Linked DNA regions of Tamandua tetradactyla. The protein of the gene in region 4 interacts with the protein of the main gene of each other region in a pairwise test. Links are inferred from orthologs where the notes say so. Each region holds a gene or a part of one and is shown on either strand. Other genes may lie near its edges.

What was found.
Region 1: the proteins of AGTRAP (region 4) and COQ8A interact in binary tests that used the Homo sapiens proteins (3 or more experiments, as listed by UniProt). The two-hybrid records come from large-scale screens. The link is inferred for Tamandua tetradactyla from reciprocal best matches to the Homo sapiens genes AGTRAP and COQ8A.
Region 2: the proteins of AGTRAP (region 4) and BPIFA2 interact in binary tests that used the Homo sapiens proteins (3 or more experiments, as listed by UniProt). The two-hybrid records come from large-scale screens. The link is inferred for Tamandua tetradactyla from reciprocal best matches to the Homo sapiens genes AGTRAP and BPIFA2.
Region 3: the proteins of AGTRAP (region 4) and AP3M1 interact in binary tests that used the Homo sapiens proteins (3 or more experiments, as listed by UniProt). The two-hybrid records come from large-scale screens. The link is inferred for Tamandua tetradactyla from reciprocal best matches to the Homo sapiens genes AGTRAP and AP3M1.

Annotation. Positions count from the first base shown.
Region 1 is NC_135333.1:19,603,959-19,611,370, forward strand, and holds the start of COQ8A (atypical kinase COQ8A, mitochondrial), read right to left. Parts: upstream 3,348-7,412; 5' UTR 3,156-3,347; intron 1-3,155. UniProt on the Homo sapiens protein: Atypical kinase involved in the biosynthesis of coenzyme Q, also named ubiquinone, an essential lipid-soluble electron transporter for aerobic cellular respiration.
Region 2 is NC_135327.1:19,916,193-19,924,549, forward strand, and holds the start of BPIFA2 (BPI fold-containing family A member 2), read right to left. Parts: upstream 3,474-8,357; 5' UTR 3,355-3,473; intron 1-3,354. UniProt on the Homo sapiens protein: Has strong antibacterial activity against P.aeruginosa.
Region 3 is NC_135339.1:22,542,356-22,549,942, reverse strand, and holds the start of AP3M1 (AP-3 complex subunit mu-1), read right to left. Parts: upstream 3,210-7,587; 5' UTR 3,079-3,209; intron 2,957-3,078; 5' UTR 2,824-2,956; exon of another isoform or gene 2,816-2,823; intron 1-2,815. Other genes in the region: ADK (adenosine kinase), read left to right, coding at 3,347-3,411. UniProt on the Homo sapiens protein: Part of the AP-3 complex, an adaptor-related complex which is not clathrin-associated. The complex is associated with the Golgi region as well as more peripheral structures.
Region 4 is NC_135328.1:213,743,269-213,750,733, forward strand, and holds the start of AGTRAP (type-1 angiotensin II receptor-associated protein), read right to left. Parts: upstream 3,164-7,465; 5' UTR 3,040-3,163; coding exon 3,013-3,039; intron 1-3,012. UniProt on the Homo sapiens protein: Appears to be a negative regulator of type-1 angiotensin II receptor-mediated signaling by regulating receptor internalization as well as mechanism of receptor desensitization such as phosphorylation.

The DNA.
Region 1 (7,412 bases), on a different chromosome or scaffold from region 4:
TCCCAGAGAGCAGGGACCTGGCCTTTATTCACTTTATCTTCCCACAGCGCCTGGCTCTAGGTAGGTAATCAGTATTTGCTCAAAGAGGAGTAAATAACCACATTCACCTATTCTGAGGTGGATTTTTCTTCAGAGGCAGGGCCTGCAGGGGCACCAGCAAGTTGAGCGTTCTTGAGATAAGTATCAGCCACTATCTACAGCAGATTCTAAGATACCCTTAGGTGGCAATTTGAGTGAAAAACACTGAGCTCCTTAGTGACCCTTTCTATACATGCACATGCTAAAATTACACCCAGGTATGAGGAATAAAGAGTTTTCCAGGGTCACCTCCAGTTTTAAACACTCTGTGGTCCTCTATTCTTAAACCAAAAGGTCAAGGGCTCAAGAACCTACAGCCCCACAATCAACATGCTTGCAGAGAGACCAATGGATACCACTCAGATTCAGGTTCACAGAGTGCTTGGACTAGCCACACATCTCAAGCAATGTGCTGGTTCTACCTCCGTATCCGGAGGCTCCACCTTCCCACCAGGTCCAACTCCAGAAGGCCCCCCTCCCTCCAGCTCCTTAACACTGGCTGTGCCAAGGTCTTACCCGTCATTGAGCAGGAATGCCGAACTATTTCCAGACACCACTGTCAAATCAAGACAACTCTCTACTCAAATATCCCTGTCTAATCCTGCACACAGCTCTCATTTCAACTGACAAAGAAAATGACTCAGCGTCCATGCTTTTGCTGGAAAATTATCCAGCCAAGTTTGGAGCTTCCCTATAATAGACTTCCCTAAACTTATCTTTGCGAAAGGAGAAGTGACTTCCCTGCCCTGATCTTTTCTGTATACAACAAAGCATAACCAGAAGACCCCCTACCTGATCAAGAAATAGTGACAGGAATATCCTGGCACATCCATAGGATCCATTAACAACAAGAAAGGGAAACTCAGTCAGGGGCTTGGGGTGTTTCTCCTTGCATAAGCCCTATACAATAATCGCCCCTTTTTCATCTTTTCTATATCCCCATCAGCATGAGACCTAGAAGTTTGGGGGATATATTCCAAGTTATATAGAAGGCACAATCTGGCCTCAAAAGCAAAGCATCTTTCTCTGCACAAGAAGAAATGGCACACTGTCTTTATGACATGGCTTCTTCAGTCAACCATAAAAGAGCTCCACAAATTATACCCGTGGCCATGCTACACCATGACATTTCTGAGTCTGCAGCCGCAGATGGTGCACACAAATACAACACACACGCACATATGAAATGCAGCCACTCACTCACTCCCTGAAGACATAGGTCAGACCCCCTCCCACACGACAAGCCACAAGAGGAATCTGAGCATAAAGTAAGGGTGAGTGAAGCATCAGCTTGGAAAGCCACTTATGGATAATGGATAACTGAGTTGGCTTTTCTACCAGTGTTTAAACCAATAAAGGCATCTGCTCACTACTTAAAACGTGTTTCATATATATAGCCCCAAAAGTTCTGAAAAGTCCTCAAGGGCAGAAACCACCATCTTCTACACTCCCAACACAGCTATCGCTGCCCTCATCCAGCAGGCACAGTAAATGCCCATGGTTTCTACCTCCTATCTCTATGCTGGCAGGTTTCACCTCTGCTACCCAGGTGCAGAGGGAGGATCTCCTTTAAAGCCCAATCTACACAACTTCTACTGCTGGCTTAGGGCAGGGGACACAACATTATCTTCTGCTAAAGCCTCTCCAACTACTCATGGACATATTCAAAAGATCCTTACATCGTGGTTCTCAGCTAAGTGTGACTTTGCCCTCTATGGGACATGTAGTGATGTCTGTAATTGTCATGACTAGGGGAGAAGGAATATTCTTAGCATCTGGTGGCAGGAGGCCTGGGATGCTGCTACACCCCCTACAATGGACAGGGAAGTCCCCCAAAACAAAGAGTTATCCCAGGCCAAAATATCAGTAGTTCCAAGGTTGAGAAACCTGTCATACAGGACTGGCTCTGAGGGAGGTAAACAGACCACCAGGTTCACTTTTTCTTTGAGTTGCCAGGGCTCAGGCCAACAGTTATAACAAGCACGCACTATCTGCATTATTTGCAATGCAGAACAAAACTCCCCCAAGCCATCATCTGAGTCTTAAAGATGTTGCCCCTCTGTGTCAGCAGCTCCTCTTTTGTCTCCTCCAAGAGAGACAGTTTCCCAACAGCCCTCCTACCAGAATGACCCACCCATCCACAACATGCCACCTGACAGGCTGGCAGCAATGCATGCTCAAGTCCTTTAGCAAGGAGGTAGGCCTAACATGCCCATCTCCGCCTTGCTCTGCCATGTAAACCAAATGAGCACAGAAAAGTTTTTCAATAGGCTGCAGGCTTGACCCAGGCTGGGAAGCTGCACTCAAGCCTCTCAACCTTTAGGACATTTATCCCTCTGAACCAAATGGAGAGTCTCAACATCCAGACCTGCCACTGCAGCGTTCCCCCGTCCCCAAAGCAGAAGGGGCCGTACCCTCTGCAGCGAATAGGGCCAAAGCCAGGGAAAGGCCCAGTTCTGGAGATTAAGCCCAAACCACTCACAAGATCCCCAGGGCTTGGAGAAGTCGAAGGAAGGACCAAAGCAGAAAAAAAACGGGAGAAATGACCAAGACAGACTCTCTTAACCAAGATCCCCCACGCTAACATCCAACAGCTGGCTTTGGCCCCAAGTGAATCAAAGTTTCAGGCACAAATCTGCATCCGAGACACAAAGCTACAAGTGCAAGGGAATCTGGGGTCCAGGAGTAAAAAGAAACAGTATCATGAGAAAGCCTAGCAAAAAAAGTTGTTTTGGCGACCAAGAGGCACGGGCATGGGAGAGCCGGCCACCGAAGTTGTCCTGCACGTTCCAAGGACCTAGGGTTCCTGCACGCGACCCTTGTACCCTCCCCGAGGCGGGGTCGGCCGGGCTGAGGTGGGCGCAGGTACGAGAGGCAGCCACAGAGCCCCACCCTGCATCCTGAGGCGAGCCCACCGCGCCCCGTCCCCGGAGCCCGCCGTAGTGGAAATTCGCGAAGGGGAAGTCGCGCTGTCACTGCAGGAGGAGGCAAGAGGGGCCAGGCAGCTGAAGCGCCCAGCTCCGGCCACAGCCGGACGGCTCCTCGGACATGCGGCGGGCCCTAGGCGGCAGCCTTACCTGGCTGCAGGATCCGGAGATCCCGCGTCCCTCTCGGGTTCGCCGCAGCGCGGGCAGCTAGCACGAGGGAGGGATCTGTTTACCACCTAGCCAGAGTCCGGACCACCCCTAGCAGGGCAGGCTCTGCCCAGCGGGCCGCTCCCATTGGCTGCGCCGCTGTGGCCGACCGAATGCTGCGCCACGCCAGGGAGCGTGCTCAGTCCGTGCACCCGGCCTGCAGCCAATCGGAACCAGGGGCGGAACTAGAGGAGCCAATGAGAGGCTGCCCTGGCATGCAGGTCCCCTCGGGCACCTTCCAGAGCCTTGTGCTGGGGTTGGAGAAAGCCAGGCCCGGCTGGGCGGGTCGATGGAGGGTTCGGTGCGCGTGCGCACGCGCGGCGGTCTGTGCCGGGTCCCCTTAGGCGCGTTATCCGTCAATCTACTCGCTGGTGCTGGCCCGGCTGGACCTGTGAACAGGTGGTGAAGGGAGGAGACGGGCCTGGGTGGATGTGGAGAGCGTCGCGGCTTTGAGGACGAGGCGAAGGCTGCTCGGTGCCCCGCCTTATGCAACGAGTTTGCATAAGAAACTTCGAGTTTCCTTAGAAAGCACTCGAGTTCCCACAGAAAGCAGAGCCCCGGCAGGGTCAGAGGTAAAGGACCCCAGTCGTTCGTCCTTGCCCTCCAGGAGTCTTGTGGGGCGTGGGGTTCGGTGACCGAGCAGTGACTTCCTCGGAGGCGGCCCCTGCGGCGCCGGAGCGGCGCTGTGAGGCGCGGACCATCGCGGAGATCACCTGACGGTTCCTCTCCGAGGGTTTCCAAGTGCGAGTCTGCAGCTCTGCCCACCGTGGTTAATAGTTCTGGTGGAAAAGAGAAGAATAAGAACAATGTAGTGAATTTCTCATAAAAATGAACATTCAAGCTAAAGGATCTTTCTCTGTTCAGAGATATTTTTGGTGTTAGCATTTCTTTAACTTTCTTTGAAAGAGTGGCTCGTTCATTTTAATACAATTACTGGGAAAGTCATTTACATTGGCGCAGACATTGGATGGGGGCATCTGCCCCTTCAGCTCGCGCTGACCACCTGCCCTGGGTTCCCCGCTCCTCACCGCAGAGTGTCCGGCCGTGCCCCGTGAAGGACAGAACTCAGCGTGGGATGTGGGTGACCACAGCTCCATGTCGAGGCTCCGTGGGCTGCCCCCGGAGGACAGCGGGGCGCTCGGCTGCTCTGCCTGGGTGTCCGCCTACGGCCGGGGCCTCTCTGCAAAGACCGCTCCGCTGCCACCACTACCCACAGCCCAAATCCTAACTCCGCCTCCCCCATCCTCCCTGCACTAAATAATTCACTAAAAAAAAAAAAAAAAGTAAATTATGAGGAAAAATTAAGTTAAAATGTTGACGTTTCAAGTAATTTCCCCCAAACAGTACAGGGCTAAAAACTAGGGAGAGACCAGCTGGCTCCCTTTTCCCACACCGCAGGGGAGCACCAAGCCTCAAGGGTTGGGCCTTCCAAGCGTGTCCGTTGCGCCCTCTGGGACCACCGGTTCCCCCTCTGTTGCCTGCGTTCCTGCAGGTCCTCCAGCCTAGTGCCTCCCACCTGTCCGTGGCATAATGGAGTCTCCAGTCCATCCCTCCCTGTATCTCAGACTTCAGCGGGGTGAGGGTGAGGGTGAGGGTGAGGTTTTCGCGGGCTCCCGTTTCTGCTGATGGAAGTGGGGAGAGGCTATGGCACTCGAATTCCATGGGCAGCGAATCGGCTGCTTCCATGCGAGCTCAGCCCTGCTCTACCAGCAATGCCAGGGCATTCTCTCCTGAAGCACCTGAAGACAAACACAACCCACCACCACACACTAGATTTTCTTCCAGAACAGCAGTCTGCTCCTTTTACCCAAGGTATGGACAGATGAGAAAAAAAAAAAGGATAAAAAAATTAATAATTGGGGGAACAAAGGGTAAAATAAGTCAAGTAGATGGAAATACTAGTGGTCAATGAGAGGGAGGGGTAAGATGTGTTATATGTATGAGTTCTTTCTTTTTTTCTGGGGTGATGCAAATGTTCTAAAAAATGATCATGGTGATGAAGACACAACTATGTGATGATATAGTGAGTCAGTGATTCTATACTATGTATGGAATGTGTGTGTGAAGATTTCTCAATTAAAAAAAAAAAAGAATCAGCAGTCTAGTTTAAAGAGAAATGCACCCCACCTAGTCAATGCAAAGAAAGCATCTTCATCAGGTTAATATGATTTTGAACTTACTCCTTCTGAAAAATGACCTCAGCTTTATTGTACTAAAAATACATTTCTCTCTTTCCTGACCTGGTTTTTATTGCAAAGATTCCCCCATTACTACAAATTAAAGATTCCTACAAATTATATTTTGGGTGTGATAATGGCTTTGGAGCTATGTTTTTTTTGAGAGTCCTTATGTTTTAGAGATACATACTGAATTATTTCCAGGTGTATGGGATTTGCTTTCAAATATTACAGGGCTGGGGGAGAATGAATGGGCCATGAGTTGATAATTGTGGAAGAGAATGATGGGTATATTGGGATTCATTCTCTTATTCTGTTTCTTTATATATGTTAACAATTCTCCATAATAAAAATAAAAATAAAACATACCTGCCAAACAAAAAAATTCCCAATGGAAGACAATGCTAGTAATACAGGCAGGGTAAATAATAAATAACAGTCATTTCTACTCTTCTTGGTATGAAAATTTTGTCAGCCTCACTACAAGGTAAGAGCAAGATTGGATCTAGCTAAAGCTGACAAGAAAACAGCCAGAAAATTCAAAGTGATCAAGAAGACATTTGAAATACGGATTTCATTTACTATGTACCTCACTCCGAATATCTATTTGCCTTGAGATTTTAATGTTCCTATAATGCCATCATAATTTTAAAAAATTTTAGAATTTAAATTTCTAAAAATTTGCATTTGTGTATCTTTACTAATGGGCATAATATTTTAATATAGTATTATACTTTATACACACATTCACACAGAAATGGTATGCATGTGTGTAGACGCATACATACATACACAGTCCCCCAATAACCAGAGACACCTGTGCTTGGCACAGTTAGATAAGAAGCATGATACTCCAGTAATTCCCTTCTGTCTCTTCATTAATAGCACAGACAGAGGAGGCACTTACCAATTTTTACTCCGCTACGGAATCATTCCCATCAGCCTACCGAATTATTATAATATCTCTCAACCTTCACCCCCATCCCCATTTCTCTGCTCCCCTTTCCAGCAAAACGCTGGAAAATTATATTTTATGTATGTTATTTTTCAAGTCTATCTCATGGCTGGAGAGCAGGAGAAAAGATTATAGCAAGTTAAAACACAAACTCAACATTCTTACTGAGATTCAGCCATTTTTCTTCGATAACTGCTCCCCAATTGCTGCAAATCTTTGATTAGTTTCTAGAGTTCCATTTCTGCCAATTTTTTCATTGCTTTTGTGGATGAAAAGAATTAAGCAGTCCTTACTCTGCCATTTTTGCTGGCATCCTCTTATTCTGTCCCTCTAAAAACAGGTTTTTTTTTACTCAGCATCTCTGGAACATTATCCTTTCCTGATTCTCTTTCTAAGAATAAGCCATTTCTTCTCCATTTCATTTGCTGGGTCCTCATCATTTTCCTTATCTCTAAATGTTGGAGGACCTCAGGACCTACTCATTGTACCTCTTCTCTGTCTGCACTCACTCCCTTAGTGAGCTCATCCACCTTCTAGAAGCTGATAACTCCCAAATTTCTACTTCCGGCACTAACCTCTCCTAAGAATTCCAGATTCACATATCCAGCTGCCCATTAGCGTCTCCACTAGGATTCCCAACACGTGTCTCAAAGAGAAAACTGTCCAAAACTGACCCCTTGATTGCCCACCCAAACCCTCATTCCTACTCCAGAGCTCCCTGTCTTCAATAAGTGGCTTCTTCCATTGCTCAGTCCTGAAACCTAGAGACCTCCTTGACTCCTTTGTTTCTCTCATAACTCACCTGAGAGCCATGAGCATATCCTTCTACTTTATTTACAGACTACCTGAATCGACCCAGTTTTACCTCCATGATCGCCGTCAGCCTATCTCAAGTCAACCTCATCTTTCACCAGAATTATCTCAGTAGTCAGCTAACTGGTCTGCCACTTCCACCCATCTTTCAGGAAGCCCTTTTTGTTTGTTTTAAAACAAAATTCAGATCACATCATTTCTAAATGCAGAATCCTTTAATGGCTTCTCCTCTCAGAATAAAATCCAAAATTCTTT
Region 2 (8,357 bases), on a different chromosome or scaffold from region 4:
GAGTGAGTCCCTTCTTCCTTTTGGAAGAGTGCCTAAGCCCCGATAAGGTTTGAAAGGCAGCTACATGCACAAGTTACCTCCTCCTGTAAAGAATGTTTGTTAGTGGCTATTATTATATCCAAAGAATTGAGAGAAATCCAGGTTCTTTTAAAGATTTGTATGTAAAAGGAGACATGATTAAATATAAAGCTAGCTAGGTAGGGCTAGTTCCCTTAATTTCCAACAAGTTATCAAAAATCTACACAGAAAATCTAAAAATCCAACAGAGCAACATGCTAATAATATGAATAAAACATGCAAATGCCTAGTAAACATGCAAAGATAGAGGGGACTCATAGGATCAGAGAAATGCAAAGTCGAATGAGTTACACTCTTTCATTTATTAGACTGGAAAACATTTAAAGTTGTCCATTCCCAATGCAAAGAAAAGGAGTGGAAAAAAAGACACTCTCATAGGCTGTTGGAGAAAGGTAAGATAGGGGCTTGTTTGTCGACATCTGCCATAATTTAAAATGTGCAGAGCTTTTGAACTTTGGATATCCTACTTTAGGAATTCATCCCATGCATATATCGGCAAAAATTTACCCGTCTGCACTGTATAAAGGATATTCATTGCAGCATTGCTTGGTTCTAGAACGATAATAAGTGTATTAGCCAGGAATGGCAGAGCCACCTCTCAGCAAACCAGGGACAAAAGGCAGCCTGCTCACAGGTGCACAGGCATGCACGCTCACAGGTGCAAAGACAGGCACGCTCACAGGTGCAAAGGTATGCTCACTCACAGGTGCACAGGCATGCACACTCACAGGTGCAAAGGTATGCTCACTCACAGATGCAAAGGCATGCATACTCACAGGTGCAAGGCGACATCGGTGGAGACGGGGATCTTTAAGTTAATGCCTTTTCCATCAGAAGCCACTTCACTCTTGAATTTCAGGATGCTGGAGTTGCCAAGTTCCAACCTGTGCAAAACCCACAGTTCACGCTTGTCACCATTCCTTGTGACGGCCCTATGCTGAGCACATCAGTGTCATGTCTCCTTTGGCCTTTACAATAACTTTGTTCAGAGGCTTGATCGTGTCCATTTAACGGCACGGCATAGAGAGGCTCAGGTGAATGACATTTACCCCCCACATCGCAAGGAGAATAAGCGCCAGAGCCAGGATTTGACCCAGAACTGTCGACTCCAAACCTCCATGTGTGGGACCCACTCCATGGGGCTACCTGATGTGAAATTGCCCCTACAGGGATTTGGGATTTATCTCAAGCCTACTTCCAAGAAGGAAAAGTTTTATTTCTTGGAGAAAGACTTCGGACACCAGCAGACAAGTGGATGGGAAGGTGAGAGGAGACTCGACCCTGACCCTTAGATTGTGGAACCCACGAAATGCCCAGATTAGCTGTGCAGCCAGTTTCCTCCAGCTCTGACAGACCTGGCCTTAGGTCACCTGGGCTCTGTGTAAGAAGAGCCAAATTTAACCACCTTTCTGTCTTTGATCCCACACCTACCCTCACCCCCAAAGCGATGTATTCCCTCTCTTGTTTTTCTTGGAGCAAAGCCTCCACTACGGAGCACCATCTTACCCCAAAGACTTCTCTAGAGTTGAAACCATCTTAGAAATGTCACTTTCCACCATGTTCTCGACTTTCTCGATTTTCTCCTTGAGCGGTTTCCAAGTGGCAGGGTCCTGGATCACTTTCACGTCATCCTTTATTTTCTGAAGGACACCTGACAAAGGCAATCACTGTTGGGTGTCGTGCACCACTTAGGAAGCAGCTACTATGTGCCAGTTACTCAAGAAGACTATTGGTCAATGTTATTTCATTTAATCTTCGTAACAACCCAAGCAAGCAGGTATTGTTATTATCTGAGCATTATAGAGGAGGAACTAAAGGAAAAATAGTTTAGTAAATGTGCCCTAAGGTCACACCACTAGGGAGTTATTGTTCCTTCCATGCTGCTTCCCTACTAATAGGTTACTGATCATTCATCAATGAGGCAATCGATCAAGTATAGCAATTAATCTTGATTGTACACCAGTTTCAAGCAGTAATTTGGGGGTAGGGTAATCTATTGCCCTAAATGAGGTACACGAAGAAGTTTGAAAATGAGGCCCAACTGAGAAAGTAAGCAAAGAAATGGAAAAGTTCGAATCTAGGGAAAAAAATAGCTCTAACTTGTGAAAGTGAGGAAGGGGAGTACCAGGATGACAGCTTTGCAGCAGGCCTGGAGGACAATCATTCATACGGGGGAAGAAGGACAGAGTGTTTCTAATGGAAGAAAATGGGGTTGTGATGGAATAAATGCGGCAGAGGTAGGATGGTCCATGTGAAAAGAATTAAGGCTGTGTGTATGGTAAACAACAAAGGCAATTACTAATCCAAGGAAAAACAAAGACTATAAGGAAAGAAGTGTGATATAGAACTGCAGCCTGTGTCTGCAAAGGACAGTATCTGGCCAGTTAAAATGATACAAATAGGGAATAAGAATTTAAATGAAACTAGTTATATTACTAAATCGGGTTAATTACTCAACAGAGGACCTTGATCCATGCATTTCTGTCCCAGTTTCTCCTGCTGTGAAATTAGCAAGTGAGTCCCTTCTTCCTTTTGGAAGAGTGCCTAAGCCCCGATAAGGTTTGAAAGGCAGCTACATGCACAAGTTACCTCCTCCTGTAAAGAATGTTTGTTAGTGGCTATATTATATCCAAAGAATTGAGAGAAATCCAGGTTCTTTTAAAGATTTGTATGAAAAAGGAGACATGATTAAGTATAAAGCTAGCTAGGTAGGCTAGTTCCCTTAATTTCCAACGAGTTATCAAAAATCTACACAGAAAATCTAAAAATCCAACAGAGCAACATGCTATTAATATGAATAAAACATGCAAATGCCTAGTAAACATGCAAAGATAGAGGGGACTCATAGGATCAGAGAAATGCAAAGTCGAATGAGTTACACTCTTTCATTTATTAGACTGGAAAACATTTAAAGTTGTCCATTCCAATGCAAAGAAAAGGAGTGGAAAAAAAGACACTCTCATAGGCTGTTGAGGAAGGTAAGATAGGGCCTGTTTGTCAACATCTGCCATAATTTAAAATGTGCAGACCTTTTGAACTTTGGATATCCTACTTTAGGAATTCATCCCATGCATATATCGGCAAAAATTTACCCGTCTGCACTGTATAAAGGATATTCATTGCAGCATTACTTGGTTCTAGAACGATAATAAGTGCATTAGCCAGGAATGGCAGAGCCACCTCTCAGCAAACCAGGGACAAAAGGCAGCCCTTGGAGCTTCAGGTAGTGCAGGCAGAGTCTTGAGCGGCAAGGTCCTCTGTGCTCTGCAAACTCACCTTGGAGGATGTTGCTGACCGTTTCAAGTTCTTTGTCAACAACAGGTTCCACTTTGTCCACAGCATTCTTCACCGCACCCTGAAGAGACTTCAAGAGAGGTTCAAGTTCTTTGTCAACAACATTTCCACTTTGTCCACAACATTCTTCACGTCACCCTGAAGAGTCTTCAAGAGAGGTTCAAGTTCTTTGTCAACAACAGGTTCCACTTTGTCCACAACATTCTCACGTCACCCTGAAGAGTCTTCAAGAGAAGTTCAAGTTCTTTGTCAACAACAGGTTCCACTTTGTCCACAACATTCTTCACGTCACCCTGAAGAGTCTTCAAGAGAGGTTCAATTCTTTCTCAACAACAGGTTCCACTTTGTCCACAACATTCTTCACGTCACCCTGAAGAGTCTTCAAGAGAGGTTCAAGTTCTTTGTCAAGACAGGTTCCACTTGTCCACGACATTCTTCACTCACCCTGAAGAGTCTTCAAGAGAGGTTCAAGTTCTTTCAACAACAGTTCCACTTTGTCCACGACATTCTTCACGTCACCCGAAGAGTCTCAAGAGAGGTTCAAGTTCTTTGTCAAGAACAGGTTCCACTTTGTCCATGACATTCTTCACGTCACCCTGAAGAGTCTTCAAGAGAGGTTCAAGTTCTTTGTCAACAACATTCCACTTTGTCCACGACATTCTTCACGTCACCCTGAAGAGTCTTCAAGAGAGGTTTCAAGTTCTTTGTCAAGAACAGGTTCCACTTTGTCTTCTTCACGTCACACAAGATCATTCTTCATCAGTAACTGACACATCGATCAGTCTTCAAGACAGAAGCTGAGGTTTCCAGTGAGAAGATCGCACAAGAGACAAGTTTCCAAAGTTGAAACATCTTTTGGCCTGATACCTGGACAGTCAGGAAAGAACAGGATTGAGAATGCCCAGAGCGAAAGGAATATTCCATCAGCCGCCTGCCGTTCTGATACTAACATCCCTTTGAGATAGATATGGTTACCCATTTTCCAGATGGAGCCAGACTTGACGCCACGTCCATGATCTTTACACAAAACCATTTCACAAGCACTTCTCTATGCCGGAGACATCTTTCCTCTTCCTTGCCTTTTCATCTACTGATTCCTAATGGTTCCCCAGGCCTCTGCGGGATATCATGCCTTTCATGAAACTTGCTCTATGGTCCTCCCCAGCGTCTGTGTTAGGAGTCCCCCTCCCCCCTACCCAACCTGGCACCCTTCATTCTCTGAGAGAGTCCTGGATATTAGTGCCTGTATGACTTGTCTTCTTCTCCCACACAGCTATGAATTCCTTAGAGCAGGGGCCGTGGCTTGGACACCCGAGCCCCCAGTTGAAACCCTGCAGCTAGCAGGTATTCAACCACTGCTGTTGAATAAAGAATCAATAATAAATGGGCATCACTTTCATGACCCTGCATTGCTCACAAGTTTTGACAGTTCTGTTAATGAAATCTCTATATCTCTTAATTTGCTATAGTTTAAAATATTAGCTAACCGAAGAGGCCCATTCTCCTGCCTTTTACCCCCAAGACCTTCTGAAGGCCGCCATGTGAGGTGTTGGCAGGAGCAGCCAACCACTCACCGGTTCCGAGAGGATGCTCACGAGATCGTTCTCTGCACAAACTCTGGGACTCTGCTGGGTGAAGGTGGTTCTTATATGTTTAACGGGATGGGTGGCAGCCCATGGGAGCAAGGCCTGATTCCGGGGCTATCCAAACTGCCTCCAAAAAAAAATATCCCTGTCCAGGATGAGAAACTCCTACCAAAGGTCACCCAGGATGCTTGAGTTGGAATGAATGGAGTTTGGGAGGATTTTCTGCAGGACTGAGACAGGAAGGCCCTTTTCCAGCTCCCAAGGGTGGTCACTGCAGGTTGCTGCGAAGAGTGAGGATGGACTGTTGGGAATGTCTAGGTGGGAGCACCATAAGGGATCACTAGTCAGCTCTGTCAGTTGGAGGCAGACAGAGAGGAAGTCCCAGCCTGAGGTCACTTGGCAAGATGAAGACAGAGACAGGTCTAGAACTGTGGCCCAGGGAGCGTTAGGGTCACAACCAGAGCCCCATCCATCACATGTCTTCAGTTCAAAGATTTACAATGCCAAGGAGCTCGCCACCCCCAAGCCTGTCTGTTCCATCCAGCTGGTAGAAAATGCCTCCAGAGGGTGAACCAAAGTCTGCCTCCGTGCCGCCCACATGTGTGGGTTTCAGGGAGGCTCAGAGGAGTTAAGTGTCTTGGCTGACAATATCAGAAGACACAGTGCCGCCAGTTTTGTCCCTGGTCTCCCTTTGCCGCACATGTCCCCATCTGCTCCACTCAGCGAGGCAGCCACAGGGACTTCATTCAGGTAAAATCCAAAGTCATTCCATGGCTCACAAGAGACCCTACTGCCTCTCAAAATTCACCTCCTGCCTCTGTCGTCCTCGTTCCTACTGTTCTTTCTTCTGTTCCAGAAAGATGCCAACCTCTTTCCTGCTTGAGCACTTGCACTTGGCCATTGTCTCTGCCCGGAACTCTCCTCCCTGGCTGTCTCTATGGCTGTCTCCATCACCTCCTAAGAAAGCCCTCCCTAACTGCCCACCTTAGGTAGCCCCTCCGCTAGCTGAGTTTGAAACTCAGCTTCTTGCTTAGTTCTTTTACAGCATGATCACGACTTGAAATGACTGTATTTATTTGTTTTCTGCCCTAAGGAAGTTGTTATCACACTGTGCTCTGGGGCTCTCTTCTCACGTGGGTCCTCAAGATTCTGACCTGCCCTAGGATGCTCAGGGTTTCTCTCTGGGGCATCCTGTCAAACCAACCATGACCTGGGAAGGTGGTAAGGTCCTCCTCACCAGAAATGCTCAGAAACTGGACTAGATGAATGTGTCACTTGATGTGGCTGGGAGCCATGACCCCAACTTTCCATAGGTCCATTGTTCAAGGTCATTACTGTACATTTTTATTCTTGTCCTTGGGTTGTCTTCCTACCTGACTCCAGCCACCTCCCGCCTTCCTGTCTCTTTCCTTTTCTCATCCTCCCTTCCTCCCAAGACAGAGCCATGGCTTCTGCTGGATGTTTCCTTTCAGCATGGACCCTCCCAGGACAGAGCCACCTTTTCTCTCTGGCATCCATCACCCCTCACGGCCGAGCTCTGAAAAGACATTCAACTCGAAGCTCTTGTCCCCTTGGGGTGAGCCTGTCAGAGGGTGGCACAAAGGTGGTGGGTAAAGCAGGCAGAGGACCCTGTCCTCTCACATGCAGCCCAGAGGTTTTGGTTCATAAGGACCCATGAGTAACCCAGTCCTGCAACCTCTCTGGCCCCAGCTCACACAAGGGAGCACCTTCAAGGGCTCCCTTCCACTGAGACATTTGGGGGAGCCTCTGGTCTGATCCACTTCAGGTTAAATCTGCCAAAATGTTAGAAACCATACCCCACACCCCTTCTTCCTGAAGTCCTATGTTCCTATTCTGATAGTGTGGGTAGAAGAGTAGAACGAGCTTGCACATGCTTACACGTATGTGTGCGCACACACACACACACACACACACACACAAGAACAAGACAGCACAAACTAGACCCACATGAAGAAAATAAACACATTTCCCTGCCTGCCACAAGGAAACCTTTTTACAGAACTCCGGAGACCGTGTTAGCTTCCCACCATCCTGGATGGAATAGCTGTCCACCCTCAAAGGGGAACTGGGTCTCCACAGATGGCCTGGGCATGGGTGTTTTCCTTAGACACTTCCAGTGCAATTCTCTGGCAAAGCCCCTGGGAGAATGAATCCAATACTAAGGAAATGAGAGAATGCATCTTTTGAGTCCCTGGATCCAGCTGTGCCTGAAACCATCCATATACCCCTGGAATTTTCAGTTCAAATAAAGTTTCTCCCTCCTTCCCCCCCGCCCTTAGGCCAGTGTTAATTATATCCTGCCACTCAAACCCACAACAGTCCTGCTCAAACATTTGCACACTTCCCTCGGCCTCTTCCCTTCTGATGGCTGCTCATGGGTCATATAAACACACTTGAGACATTAGACCCTAAATCCAGGAGGAGCCTTAGAGCTCACCAGATCACCCTCCTTGCTGGGAAGCCTGGGCCCCAGTGAGGGAGAGGAATTCACCCAAAAAACCCACTTTGAACCTCACTTATTTTCTCCTTTTAATTGCACATCTCCTAGTTTGGTTGGAAGTCTTTACTCTGGACAACAGCATTTATTTAAAGGGAAAAAAAAGAATTACGCAAAATTACCAAGGAAACCTGTTTAAAATATAGATGCTTGAGCTCCACCCTGGAATTATTTAGGCCAGGGGCTTTGGGGTAGGGCCTAAGAGTGGCCACGTCCAGGCTACCTGGGGTGGTCGGCCAGGAACAGAAATTACTTTCCATCAGAGGCGCCTTCCACCTCGAGTTCTGTGAGCTGTGACCCCCACCCAAAATCTGGAGCCCCTGCTCTGCTTCGACATGGCCCTTGTAACCATACAGCTCATGTGCACAGCGCTTTACAGTGACGCCTCACAGCCCTGCAGTAACAGACCCGCAAGAGTGGACTGCTGATGCTAACAGCTGTCATTCATTTTACATCTGCTGTGTACCAGCGTTTTTCCTTTATCACCCTGTTTCATCCCTTCCGCAGGCTTGTGATGTGTGTGTGTGTGTGTGTGTGTGTGTGTGTCACTGGCCACATTTTTCAGATGAGGAGAGTGAACGTTGATGGGGAGGGTTGGGGGCAACTTGCTCAAAGTCACGCAGTCCAGGGGGCCGAGCTGGGGAGCGAACGTGAAGTCTGTGCCGGCACTAGAGATTGAAAGTGACTGTTCTGGCTGTGACCTCCTCCGGGCTGCAGGCGTCACACTCTTCCCCGACCCCAGAGCCCAACACGCAGGGGGTGCAGATCCTCACTGGGCCTGGCGCTGGGGACACCCTGATGCCGTCGGTCCCCACGACAACCCTGGAAAGCAGGTTCTGAGACCCCCATCTTCCAGTTAAGGAAACTGAGTTCCAGAGAAG
Region 3 (7,587 bases), on a different chromosome or scaffold from region 4:
CCATTTATTCACTCAAAAAAGTAGTTTTTTGTTTTGTTTTAAATATTTTTATTGACAAATCTTCACACATACATTCCATATATGATGTACAATCAGTGGCTCACAAATATTATCACATAGCTGTGTATTCATCACCATGATAATTTTTTAGGACATTTGCATCATTACAGAAAAAGAAACAAAAAGAAAAAGAAAAAACTCATACATACCATACCCCTCATCCCTCCCTCCCACTGATTACCAACATTTCTATCTATGCAATCTACTCTACCCCTTATCCCTATTATCTATTTATTTTTTATCCATATTTTACTCATCTGTCCTCACCCTGGAAAAAAGGAGCATCAGACACAAAGCTTTTACAATCACACAGTTACACTGTAAAAGTTATATCTTTATACAATCGTCTCCAAGAATTGAGGCTTCTGGAACACAGCATACCAGCCTCAGGTACTTCCCCCCAGTCACTCTAACACACCACAAACCAAAAAGGAATATCTATATAATGCCCAAGAACAACCTCCAGCATAACCTTTCAACTCGGTCTGAAATCTCTCTCAACAAGTAGTTTTGAATACATTTTATATATTAGGTGTTAAGAACTACAAAGATGGACATTGAGAGGTCAGCCAAGTTGACAACCAACTAGAGTGTGTTAGTGTGTTTCCAGAAGAACCGTGTTGTAAACAAAAAGTAGCACAGAGAAGTCAAGCTATAAGAAGAACTGAAACTGTCTATTCATTTAAGTTTTTCTTAACCTTATTTTCATTATCATCCTTCTGATGGGCCTTTTAGACTCTTCCTCCCATAATTGCAAACCATCTCCCATAATTGCAAACCACCTCCCAAGATATATATATATAGTGTTATATAAAATAACACAAATGTATTATCTTACAGTATAGGTCTCACTGGGTTATAATCAAGTTATCCATGAAATTTTAATACCACAGAATATGGTATGTTTGTTTATGTACTATATGTAAACTGTGCTTTAAATATAAGAAAAGTAAGATTTTTTTTCATCCTGTAAGAAGCAATTTTTGTCCTCACTGAGAGATTTAACACATAAAGGACATTGGTGATCTTGGTAAAAGCAGTTTCAGTGGTAGTTTGGTAGAATACTGGAAACAAAAGACAGATTGCAGTGGGCTGAGTAATAAATAGCAAGAAGTGGGAAAAATAGAGATAAAGGGAGAGCAGATGACATATTCAAGAAGTCAAGCTGTGAAGGGGATGAAAAGAGAGGAAAATAAGTGGGAATAGTTCATAAATTGAGGAAGAATATTTTTAAATGCTGAAGAGAAGGTGTGAGAAGGCTTGTGATGTAGGAGAGAGGAAATAAGTGAAAGAAAGAGGACCCCAAGAAGGAGAAAATGGTATTGGGTAACTAGGTGAAAGGATTTGTTTTCCCTAAGGAGAAGGGCCATGTTTCTCAGTAGTACATTATGTTGAATGTTTAGAAACATGTAAAAATCATAGAACTCAGTGAGAAAAACTAACCTTGTTGTAAAGAGAACTTTCCTATTAAAGATAAACAAGTGTATATATATAAAGATATACAAGTTTCAGTTAATTTCTCATTCACTTTGTATGCTTCACTTTTCCTACAGTTTCAGTTTCAAGTGTCCTATCTTTCTAAATTAATTTTGTACTTGTAAATTTGGTTCCAGTACCCTCATTCAATTCTGGGATCATACCTCTCTTTCTTAAACCTTTAATTTTATACATTAATTACTAGCTTACTGCTTGGAAACATAATGCTTTGTAATCTTTTTTAAAAAAACAACAACAAAAAACCCAAAACAAAACATCCAAATATTTTCCCCATGTTACCACTCTCGTTTATCTTTTGCTTCCTGCCCCAAATGATAAAGGGTTAGTTAACACTTGCAGCATCTCTCTCAATCAATGACTTCCTAATCATTAAATCCAATGATCTCTTCTCAGACTTCCTCTATTGACCTATGCCGCATTTCAAGTCACTGGCAAAATTCCCCCATACAAAACAAATACCTCTTACGCTATTTTATGAAACTTCACCTGTTTTGGCTCTCACCTTGAAAGTTTTTTTTCGGTTTAATTCCCAGGCTTCTTTTATTATTATTTTTAAAAATTATTCTACCATCTCCACCTAAGCTACTGCTTCAAACTCGATATATTCTAAACTAAACACAGCATCCGATCTCCACAAAATTCCTTCTTCTTCAAGTGAGAACTCTCAACTTTAGAGTTAGCATCTTCTCCTTGGTCATCTAGGCCAGAAACTTCAGCTTCAAATTCAACCCAAATCCAACCAGTGACATCTCTCATAATTTTTCTGTATTCCCTCCCACCTCATCGGTTTAGCTCTCTGTCACCTCTTCTGAAGAACTGCCACATCCTTCTTACAGTATTGTATTCCCTATCCCAGACTCATCCCGGCACCACCCTCTAACAGGACGTCCGCTCAACTTCGTCAGGGGTTTCGTTCTACAAAACGGAAGCCCGGACCTGAGGTGCGAGCTGTTGTTGCTTCAAGCTCAATACTGGTGACAAGACCTTTTCTCCCGCTCCAGGGCGTGAAGACAGACTAGCTTGAACCCGCAGTTCCGAGGTTCTGAGACCACTGGGCCGCAGGTACATCGCTCCCTTCCGGCCCTGCTGGCTACAAAGCCCGGGAGGCCAGGAAGGAGCGCGGCCCCTCCCCACAGCACCGGAGACGCTCCCGCCGCCCAAGGTGAAGTCCGGAGCCCCAGCTATTCAGCCTGTTCCCCATTTTCCGAGCTGTCCGCAGGCTGCAGATTGCCCCCACCGTCCCCACCCTCACACTCACCCCGGTACCTGGGCCAGTCAGTGATTCGGTGCCGGGTCCTCTCCCGACCTAGGCTGAGACAGCTGAGAAGGCCGTGAGGACCCCGTAGTTGGAGTGCTCAGGAGATTGCCTGATTAACAGCTTCATAGACACTGACTCGGTCTGCAGTAGTGGAAAGATTAAAAAAAGCCAGAAGACGTTAAACGAGATGAAAGACGTTCCTTAAGGTTGAGGATCTAAATCTTCTAGATTACCCAGCCTCTAGAAGAATAAGGGTTTCGCACCTTCCAGCGCAGGCGCTCATCCGCGGCCTAACTCATTCTCGGGTCCCCCGCAGGCGGGGCGGGGCCAAAAAGGGGCGGGGTATTGGTTGTGGGGACCACGGATAAAACCATTGGTTGTGGACGGGAGAGGCCCAGACTGGGCGAGGCCCTGAAGAGGCGGGGAGAGGGGCGTGCTTTGCAGAAAAGGAGGCAGTGATGTGACAGGGGCGGGGCCAGAGCGCCGAGGCGGGTGGAGCGCAGCCAAGCCAAGTGGGGTGGGAAGGCGAAGATGGCAGCGACCGAGGAGGAGCCAAAGCCCAAAAAGCTGAAGGTGGAGGCGCCGCGAGCGCTGAGGTGAGCGCTCCCCGACGTGGGGAGGAGGGTGGCGACGGCTGCCGCAAGCCAGGGCCCACGTGGGGTTGCGCGGGCCGGGCGCTGCGTGTTTTCCTGCTGCCCGTGTGGGGTCAGCGCGCGGGACCGGCGCCCAGGAGCTGCCCGCGTAGTCGCGACCTCTTTACCCGCCCAATTTGTCTGGCCCATTCGCTGTCCGCTCCCGAGCGGTTCGGACTCACGGCCTCCTTGGCCAATCAGAGTGTCCGTTCTGTGGGCAGAGGCGGTGGCAGGCAAGCTGCGGGCGCCACGTGCTAGCCTGCTTCAGCTGGGCCGGTGCGACCCATGAGAACCTGACCAGAATCCAAGCCGGCTACCTCCTCTTCCGCGAGGACTAGCCGGGGAGGAGGCCCTAAGCTTGCTGTACCCTGGGGCAGTGACAACCACTTGCGAATTCTTGGGGATTTTTAGGAAAGTGTCGCGGAAGGGCGCCTTGACCTTGCTCCTCGCACAGACTCTAACAGCCGGCAACTTTGAAGATCCTCTGCCAGGGACCCACAACGCCACCGCCGGGGCATTGCGGGGCTGACATTTGGCTGAGTGGATAGGAAAGGTTGATTATTCTTTTTTCTTTGCACTTTTTTAGCAGCAGTGGACACAGTTCTGTCTCTGATAGCTGCCTCGCATGGATTGGCATTGCAACTTTTACTTAAAAAAAGTTATTGAAAATACTTGAACTCTGAAGTAAACCACGCACTGTCTTAGTAATACAGTTATTAAAATATTGTTTCTTCAGTTGCAACAAATGCACCACACTAATGCAAGGTGTTAATAATGGAATAGCATGTGGAACTGTATTTTATGCATGATTTTCTGTAAACGTACACCTTCTCTAATAAAAAAATACAATGGTAAAAAAATTCCCCTTCTTAATAAGTATAAAAAGCTACATCAAAATTATTTGGTGATTTTGAACAGCATGTGGAAAGTCAGTGATTTTTCTATCTAAAACCAGACAAACTAAACCTGTTGGGGCCCTCCTGAAATAAGTCGTATCCTATTTATTTTAACACCAGTGTTCTTCAGCTCTAAATAATGAACACTTAAAATTGAAGAAAAGGTCACTTAGGGGCCTGGTAGTGTGGCCATGGTAACATGTGGCAAAATATCAAATCCCTGCCAATGCTTTTAATGTATTCCTACTACCCTCAAAGGTTGAGTGTGCCTATCTTATGCCTAGAAAATAAACTTTTTTTTTTTAACTTCTCAGGATGTTCTAGTTTTCATCTAAAGCTTTCATGCTCTGTAAGGTAAAGCAAAGGCCCTCTGACTTACCTAAGTTGCATGCATATACTTTTCTGACTGTCCTTTTTTAGTGTTTCCTTCACAAAACTTTCCTCACCAAATTGGAAGACAGATACTAGGTTTTTTCTGCTATTTCATCAAACATATAAACCTTAGATTTCCCCTTAGTAAAATAATACTTTATATGTAATGGTCATCCATTTTCAAAGTGCTTTTCTACTTATTATCTCACTGTACAGCCCTGTGAGTTAACGAGGACAAGAATTCTCGCATTTTACAGCTGAGAAAATTGAAGCCCAAATGAAACAACTGGTTAAACGACTGAAATCAGAACATTTGGGTGCAGGTTCATTGATACTTTACTCTATTGTATTTGCCTTTATACCACCCAAGGTATGCTTATTTTTGTTTATAAATCCTTAAAAATAATGAGGATCAATAATATTTAATATTTAAATATGCATGCCCAGGCACTGCTTCAGCAATATACCTATTGTAATTCATTCGCTCCCCACAACAATCCTGTAAGGTGGCTATTATAATTGTCTCCATTTTATGGATGAGAAAACAGACATAGAGAGATTAAGTAATTTGATCAAGGTCACTTATCTAGAAGGTGGTGGGGTTGGGATTTGAATCCAGGTATTCTGGTTCCAAGTCTGTTCTTAATTATTATACTCTACATATTAACTTCAATTTACCAAAAAAAAAACCCTAGTGAACTGTTAATACAATTTTTGTTTTTCAACTTTCTCTTGTTTTTTGTTTGTATACATAACTTTTTATTTTGTTGCAATATATTTGCTTGTGATACATCATAATTATAGTTACATATGATGCAGTTTGTATGTCATTAGTGTCTATTTAAATTTGTAAACATCCTTAGGCAACTAAAATTGGTTTTATACAGTATCATCTTCGCACCTGTAGACATGAGCTTAAATACTTGATGCAAATAAAAGATTGGACACTGTTGAATATTGGGACAAATCTCTTAATTTTGTGCAAAGATACAAAAATTGACAGTTCCTGCTTTCATTGAATTTTATGAGTTTGCCAGAGAATGATAATGCATTGAGTGGTTGGACTGTATCACCTGAGATGACATGCTTAACCGAAATAACTTCCAGTTCAGGTTAACTCTTTAAAGAGAAATGGCTTATAAAGTCTAAGCATAATTTACTGGGTAGAATCAGTTAGTAGGGGAAACAAGTTTATGATAGATTTCTTTAGATGTCGGGGAAAGGATTTAGGCCCTATGGAAATTTCAGTTAGTGCTAGGGCAGTGGTTCTCACTCAGGGAAGATTTTGCCCCAGGGGGACATTTGGTAAAGTCTGGAGACATTTTTGGTTGTCACAACTGGGGTGGGGTGGAAGTGCTACTTACACTTATGGGTAGGATTCAGTGATGCTGCTGAACATTCCATGGTGCATAGGACAGCTATCCGTAACAAAATCATTGGCCAAAAAATGTTAGTAGTGTTGAGGTTGAGTAACTTTGCTGTAGGGAAGGCATCCCTCTTGGCTAGCCTCTCTTAAATGTCCATTATTTTTCTAGGCTGGGTTAACTTTCAGAGTATAGCGGTCGTTAAAGTTGGAAAGAAAGAAGCAGGCTCTAACATGCTTTCAGTTGGGATTGGGGTAAAGAAGGGTACATTAATTGAATACCTATAGTATGCCAGGCATTATACTCATCTTTTTTTTTTTATGACTAAAATGCATTTAATCTCCTGGAGTACAATTTCACGTTTGCCATGTGGGGACTGCCTTCTATACTAATCTTTACATATGCTGTCTTACTTGATGCTCCCAGTGCCTATGAGGTGGGAGGAATTATCTCTGTGTTACAGATGAAGTATTTGGAACTTAAAGAAGTTGAGAGCCATTGTTGGGAACTGCTCCCTGAATGAAGAGGTTCCGTGATGATTACCTATATTTAGGACCACTTAGTTTGCTTTCTCTCCTTTGAAAATCTCATCCAAGTTCATTTCTTTAGCAGTCACCTCTAAGAGGATCAGCTCCCTGCAGCACTTGTTGAACAACTGCCAAATCTGCCCTTTCAGTCATTACTTCAAGTGCCTACTATTTTAGGCATGGTGCTAGGAACTGGGTACATATATAGAAAGACATGAGACACAGGTACTATCCTCTTGGTTTGAAATGAGTGGGGTTTGGGAAAATGATACCCGAGCATCCTGAAGGATGACTAGGATTTAGCCAGGTGTAAAGTAGGGGAAAAGTGCTTGGTTTTATAGGAAAGTTTGGAGCCAGAAATGGGAAGGTTGACTCTGTTGGGAAACTACAGATGGTTTGGTCTGACGGAAGCAGAGGGCCTAAGGGGCCCAGGCTTTGTACTGGATACTTTCGTATATGTAATCTTTCCTTCTGTTTATCTCTAAGCTCTTAGACCCTAATTTCAAATGCCTACTGAATATCTCCTTCTGATACTTAGAATCAGATAATATACCTAAATTCATCTTTTGCCCTAAGCCTGCATCTTCTCCTATGACTCCTGTATCTATTAATGGTACCACTAACCTCCCTTTCTCAAAAGTTTGAAACCTAGATTTTTGACTCACTTACCATCTGCATATAGTTATCGAAGTTGGTCTTTTCTTTCTCAGTAATGTTTCATAAATGTCTTTCCTTTTCCATTCCTGCCACCACAACATAAGTGTAGATTACCTTTTGCTTAGATTTTTTTATTGGCTTCCTAGCTTGAGACATGAGTCTCAAGTTCTGCTTAATCTTCTTCAGGCTTATCTCTACTTGTTCATCATAGCATATATGTATGTATTATATATATGCTATTATTGACCCATAGTATTGGTTTGGGCGTTTGTTACCAAATGTACCACAGTATTGGTTTGGTACATTTGGTACATTTGTTACTGT
Region 4 (7,465 bases):
AATCATAAAGCTAATAAAAGAGCCCAGACTCAAACCTCAGGATAGGTCTACTTGGCCTGGGTTTTTAGGTTAGCTTTAATGTGACACTACCTCCTGGACCACCAGATCCTCCTCTTATAATAAATCTAGAAGGCAGGCTGTATTTTTAGCCTCTTTTGCAGCAAGGAAACCAAAGCTCAGAGAGGTTAAGAAATCTGCTCAAGGTCACAGAGCTAATAAGTAGCAAAGCCTGGCCTCAGTGCAGGTTTATCTGGCTCCAAGGCCTGTGCTCTATTCAACGTGCTCCACTGTTAGGAACTGGAGGAGCAAGGAAAGGGTCACATGAAGAAGGGCAGATGGAAATGAAGTGGGTTAGCCTGGAGAAGAGAACGTTAAGGAGAAACCAAAGGATCAAGTAGAGCAGGACTTAAACTCTTTGTCTGCTATGGGGGGGGGGGGGGGTGGATAGAGAGTGGGGTCCTAGATGAGCAGCAAACAGATCTAAGATCAACAGAAGGAACATATTTCTAACAGCCCTGTTCAAAGACTCAGCAACCTGTTAGGTGAGACAGCGAGACACCTGAAGATGGCTGAGGCTAGGAGCACTAGTCAGGTGTGCCACAGAGGGTCATGGAATGGTCATCTGCGTGGGCACTGGATTCAAATATGTGCATTTGAATCCTGGCTCCGTGACTTAGAAGCTGTGTGACCCAGACCCTTGGCCTCTCAGAGGCCACTTGTTCTTCTGTAAAGTAGGGGTAATAACACCTGTTTCCTAGGGTTGTTTTGTGGATCTAGGGGTACAAGGAGATTGAAGCACTCGACACAATACCTGCCAGGTGCTCAGCCCTGGTACCTGGTAGCCAGTGGTACTCTTAGGAGATCAGCTTCCAGACCATCAGGGGCTTCTTCCCTTAGACTTCATGAATCTGAGTCTAGTCCTTTCTAAGCTTCTCGTAGCGTCGTTCCTCCTGCTCAGGACTTGCTTCAAGACAGGGAAGGATGGGGCTCAGGGAGAGACTGCTCTGGGAGTAAAGGGCATGGGGTGGCTCCTTCTCACCTGGCACCACTGCCCACTATGGCGAGCAAAGAGCAGCATCTATCACTTAGCTGGGCACAAGGAGACACTCAAACAACATGAGCCAGCACTGCCCCAGCTTCTGACAGGCTCTGACTTCAGAACGTCCCACTTAGGTGCCTGGGAGCACAGCATCAACAGCTTTCCACCACTGGCTTGCCAGATTTAGCAAAGAAACACACAAAACATCAGTGCAATTTGAATTTCAAAAAACAGTATTTCACATGGGCCATGCCTATACTAAAAATTTATCCTTATTGATCAGAAATTTAAATTCAACTGGATGGCCTGTATTTTATCTGGCAACGCTAGCCCCTCAGGACCGCCCAACTCTTAATGTTTCTGACTGGTAGCTACTAGGAGCCTGGGAAAAGGGCCAGCCTTTTCATTCTGGACATCAGAAATCAGCACAGCTCACACCTGTTGCAGGACCTGAAGTACCAGGTACATAAAATTGCTTTAAAAAGGTTCAAATGGAATAAGCCCCAACCCCTGCTCTGATGGACAGAAATAGCCAGGGCAGAAAGTCAGCCTAACTAGCCTGACACCCAGGAAAAGACATGGCTTTGGAGTCTGACACTGTGGGTTCGAATCCAACATTTAATCTCTGTGTGCCCTTGGCAAGTTACTTATCCTCTCTTAACTACTTTGCTCATCTGTAAAAAGATGACAATGCCAGTTATGCTGGCACACCACAGACAGACCATAAATGACAGTTCTCCTGTCTTCTCCATTCCTGCAGCTCTGTCCCTGGCCTGGTTCTCTCTCATCACTTTTTCTATGCAAAGCTCTAATGGACAAAATTTTGAATACAGGCAGGCATATAACTTCTGCACTAACTCCACATCACAGGAACAAAGTGGGTACTGACCCCAAGAAATCTCCCAATTAAAGATTAAACCTAGCCCCCTTCCCTAGCCCCAGCCGATGACTGGAAGCCTCAAGGGAACTTGCAGAAGCAAGTATGATTAAGAAGGGAAATCTGCCCGGTGAAACCACAGCACAGGCCATGCCTAATCATCCAACATGGATTACGTGTCGTTCTGGAACATTCGTCCTTTGGGTTCCTTTAGTCTTTAGTCTGAGACAGGGGGTGCTAAATACGTATCGTCACTCGCGAGTTAAAGGAGAGCATGGATACGGTCTCAAAGGAGGCTGCGCCAAGACCTAAGACGGACAGGTTTGGCCCAAGGGGCACCCCTTCCAGTCCAAAGTTAACAGCCCCTGGGTCAGAAACGGCCAAGACGCGGGTCGGAGAGAAAAAGAAGAACCTCCGCTGACCAACGTGATCGAGCGGAGGACGCGGCACAGGAAGTGGGGACACCCCAGGAAGCGCCACCGCATTTTCCCAACTGCACTAACTGGGGCTTTCTGCTTTTAAGTAATTTTTATGGGCGGCCGTGTTTCTTAATTACGAAATAAGAAAGCTGGGAAGCCGCTGGTCTGGAAACATCTGCTTTCCATTGCCTGATTCAGTAAACAAAGGCGGAGCCAAGCAGCCCACCCCAAAGCCTTCACGTGAGAGGTCTCGCCCCTCTCGTCCCTCTCCCCGGCGGGGGGGAGGTGTCCTCCTCGTGGCCCCGCCCCCGGCTCCTGGCCCCGCCCCTGCCCCGCCCCCAGGCCATCCTCCGCCTCGAGGGAATGCGGGGCGCGCAGGCCTCAGCAGTCCCCACAGAGCGGGCTGACTCGGAAAGGGGCGACCTTTTTCCTCCCCACCGGCCTCCAGCTCCCCTTCTCGGTCTGCCCTGCTGACCTTTCCGTGGCCCCTTCCCCCTGCGAGGGTCTGTCTGGCCACCCCTGGCTCACCTGGGGTCGGAACTTGCCCGTTCTCCCCGCCTCTCTCCCAGACGCTCGTCCTCTCACGTCTGCGCTCCTCGGCCCCGGCAGACGCCCCAAACGCCCACGGACCCGCCCTCGCCCGCCGCCGCCACCCCGCCCGCCGCGCCCATCGCCACCTTCAGGTTCACGGCCGGCAGCTCCATCCCGCCCGCCGCCGAGGACACCTGCGCGGCCGCCGCCGGGAGCTGTCGGGCTCGGAACTCGAGAAACGAACTTGCCGGCCCCGCCCGGCCCGCGGTGGCGGCTCCAACCCCAACTCGGCGCCCGGGCCACGTGGGGCGGCGCGAGCGGGCCACGTGACTGAGGCCCGGTTGCCAGGAGACGGCGTCGGGCTTCGCGTGCCCATCTCCACGCCTCTGGCTCCGGCCTCCGCCCCGGGAAACTGACGAGTATGCAGCAGGTGGTGGCACCTGGGCTGATGGGACCACTTGCAGCCAGGAGGCCCGGGGGAACTTGCAGGTGTCTCATCCCCGAAGTCACCTCTCTGCCCCTTCAGCACATCAAGGTGGAGACTTTACAGTACCGACCTCGTAGGTTTTTTGCAAAGATAAATGAGTTAATAAGGTAAGGGCCGTATACAAGCTTTTGTTATCAGCACACAAGGGGCCCACTGCTGGAGCCCACTTAAGTCAACGAGCCTACCAAAAGTTTTAGAAAAATCTAACTGGAAACCCAGCAAGAAGAAGAAGAGTTGAGGAGAAAGAGATCCTATGAAACACTGTCTGCACCTCAAGCATGCAGAAAGCAAGTGAAGAAAGGAAGAGTCACCACTGCCAATAGACGGAAACAGCCCATCAGCTGACGAGTGAATAAACAAAGTGTGGTATATACTGATGGTGGAATACTATGTAACTGTAAGAAGGAATGAAGTTATGCTATATGCAATAATATGGATGAGCCTTGAGGACATTGTGTCGAGGGAAACAAAAGGACAAATACTGTATGGTCTCACAAATAGGAATTAACTATAACGAGCAAACTGTGAGAGTGATTTGAGAGCATAGGTTATCAGGAGATAGGAAGTGGGTAGAGACTGCTTAAGGATACAGAATGTTTAACGAAGTTGATTGTAAAGGTTCGGAAATGGATAGCACAATACTGTGTGAAGGTAGCACAGTATTGTGTGATTAACAAAGCTGAGTGTGATTATGGTTGAAAGAGGAAGGCTAGGGTCATCTGTGTCACCAAAAGGAAACCTAGAGGATGAAAACAGGCACTATAACTTAATGAAATTTAGAGTGGACGATGACAATGGTTAATTGTAAAAATATGAGAAAGGTTTATTTTTTATGAACTAGAACAAATGTGTCCTTATTACAAGGTGTTAATAATGGGGTGGTATATAAGAAAAAATACAATTACTGCAAACTGAAGTCTATAGTTGATACAACCATTGTAGTGTCCCACGTAGGGGGGAGGGCAGTGAATTCACCTGCCAAGTTGGCGTAGAGAGAGAGAGGCCACATGTGAGTGACAAAAGAGGTTCTCTGCAGGTGACTCAAGCATAATTTTAAGTAGGCTTAGCCTATCCTTTGCAGGAATAAGTTTCATAGGGGCGAACCCCAAGATCGAGGGCTAATCCTGTTGATTTGGTTGTCCCCACTGCTTGCGAGACTATCAGAAATTCCCCACATGGGGAAGTTAAGTATTTCCTCCTAGATAGTTATTCTGTGGCACTGTAAAATACATGCTCACAACAACCCTATGGTGTAGATTCTGTCCTTACCTTCTTTACAGTGACATTAAGAGACTTTTAAGTGGCTTGCCCGAAGTCACATCACTGAAACCGGCTTGAGAACCCAGGGGTCTGGTCCTAGAGCCAGCACGTTTAACCATCGAGCTACACTGGTTGCATCGCAGGGAAATACGCCCCTGGGCTGAGCTAGGAAAGGAGGGAAGACAGGCGCTGATGAGGCATAGGGCCAGGTCTGTGGGGACACTCTGCAGCTCGCACACTGAGGCTGCATTCATTCGGGCCAGCTGGGGCCAGAGGCATGGGGTGGGGGTGGCAGGGGGCAGGAGCAAGACCCAGCTGGCTGGGGGCAGTAGGAGAGAGTGGGCACAGAGACACAAAGGAAAATGGAGCTGTCCATTTTCAGAGGAGCCGGGGGCCCTGCCACAACCTCTTCCTGACCATGGAAGGACAAACAGACCCCCACAAAGCACATTCTGCAAGGCTTTGGGGGCATTTTTTAGTCAATATACTTTTGGAATTCAAGTCTATGTTTTCCACATCCCTCACTAATTCTGTCTGGCTCAGCTGAAAATAAAAAAGTACCTGTTTATCTTTGTACCCTCAAAGAATCTGACACCTAGAATAGGTTCATTCATTCTCTCTCTCCCTTTTTTTCCATTCATTTAGCAAATGGTGATTGTATATCTACTTGGGTAAATGCCCAGGGGTAGAATGGCTGGATCTTATGGCAGGTGTGCATTTAACTCTTTGAAAAACTACTAAACTGTTTTCCAAGGTGGTTGTGCTCCCCCAGTTTACTTTTCTTCATAGTACTCATCAATCTCTGGAGTTATTGCCCTATCAATGTATTTATGTATTGCCTGTCCTTCCAAACCAGACTCTAAAGCTCCAGGTGGACCCTCGATCTCAGCACTTAGCCCTGTGCCCAGCATACGGCAGCTGCTCAGGAAAACAAAGAAACCACAGTTGAACCACCAATTATCTTGCATGGCTTCCTGCTCGGTCCACACAGTTGGCTAAGCAAAAGGTGGCTGAAGCAGCTACAGCCTTTCCTTTCCTGTGTTTTTGTGTGTGTGTGTGTGTGTGTGTGTGTGTGTGTGTGTCCTTTAGATAAACTATTTGGGGGAGCTCTGTCTTGCCTGCTTCCAGCAGTAACCTGGGGCAAGTTGTCAAAGGCTGAGCCTCAGGTTAAGTTGGGGAGGTGTGCTGGTTTGAAAGGATGTATATACATTTTACCCTAGAAAAAACCATGTTTTAATCCTAATCCCATTTTGTAAAGGCAACCGTTTCTTCTAGTCCCTATTCAGTACTGTATGTTTGAAAATTTAATTAGATTATCTCTCTGGAGATGTGACTCAGTCAAGAGTGGTTGTTAAACTGGATTAGGTGGAGATGCGTCTCCACCCATTCTAGGTGGGTCTTGATTACTTTACTGGAATCCTGTAAAAGAGAGATTCAGAGAGAGCAGGGAAGGACAACAGAACACCACAGACCCACAAAGTAGAGAGTCCACCAGCCAGCAAATTTGGGAGATGAAGAGGGAAAACGCCTCCCGGGGAGCTGGAGAGGAAGCTAGCAGATAACGCCGTGTGTGCCATGTGCCTTTCCACTTGACAGAGAAACCCTGAACTTCATCAGCCTGCTTGAATCAAGGTATCTTTCTCTGGATGTCTTAGATTGGACATTTCTATAGACTTGCTTTAATTGGGATCTTTCTGTGGCCTAAAAAATGTTAACCTGCAATTTATTAAATTCCCCTTTTTAAAAGCCTTTGTTTCTGGTATATTGCATTCCAGCAGCTAGCAAACTAGAATAGGCAGGGTCACATATGATCATTTGCTTAGCCAACCTAGCTCGGCTCTCCGAGTGCTCAGCAAGCAGTGCTGACCAGCTGCTGTATGTACCCCGCAGTGGCTTTCTGCATCCCTCATGTATCACTGTCATAGGCAGGTATTGTGGGGGCGGGCCTGGGGGTAACTGCCTGTTGAATCGAAGGGTCAGGGAAAGGTGGGACTGAAAAGGGGAAGGAAGATGCCTGTATTAGTTTCCTGAAGCTGTCATGATGAATAACTAGAAACTGGGTGACTTATAACAACAGAAGTTTCTTCTCTTACAGTTCCAGAGACCAGAAGTTCGAAGTCAAGGTGTAGGGTGGGCAGGGCCGGGCTGCTTCCAGAGGCTTTAGGGGAGAATCCTTCCTGTCTTCCACCAGCCTCCCCCTCCCCAGCTTCTGGTAGCTGCTGGCATTCCTTGGCTTGTGGCTGCATCGTTCCTATCTCTGCCTCCACCATCGCACGCCCCTCTCTGTGTCTCAATTCTTCTTTCTTTCTTCTGTAAGGACGTTGCCATTGGATTTAGGGCCCCCTAAGCCCAGGATGACCTCATTTTGAGATCCCTGACTTAATTACATCTGCAAAGATCCTTTTTCCAGAGACAGTCATGTTCACAGGTTCCAGGAGTTAGAATGTGGACGTGCTGCGGTGGCCCCAGCAGTTCTGACGTGGGTCCCCACCCGCTTTGCATCCCAAGCAGGTACATCAAACTGAAGGACATGGAGCAGAGACAACAACCCAAATGCTGTTGGAGATGCACACACACCTGCGCGGAGGCACAGCCACTCGCCAACAGCATACTGGAGAAGGGCCCGGGAAGGCCCCTTGGTGGCTCCAGGATTGCGGCTGGAATTCTTTCTAGAAGACTTTTCTCCAGTGTTTCCTTTCAACCATCACAAACTTGCCAGCTCTATGTGTTTTGGCCAAAGGCCTGGCAGAGTTGAGGATGGCCTGGACGTTTGGACCACCAGTGTTACTTTTTGGATCTGTGCCCATAACCCTCTCTCTCCTCTCTGGAGGGTCAGCTGCAGTGAGATGGGG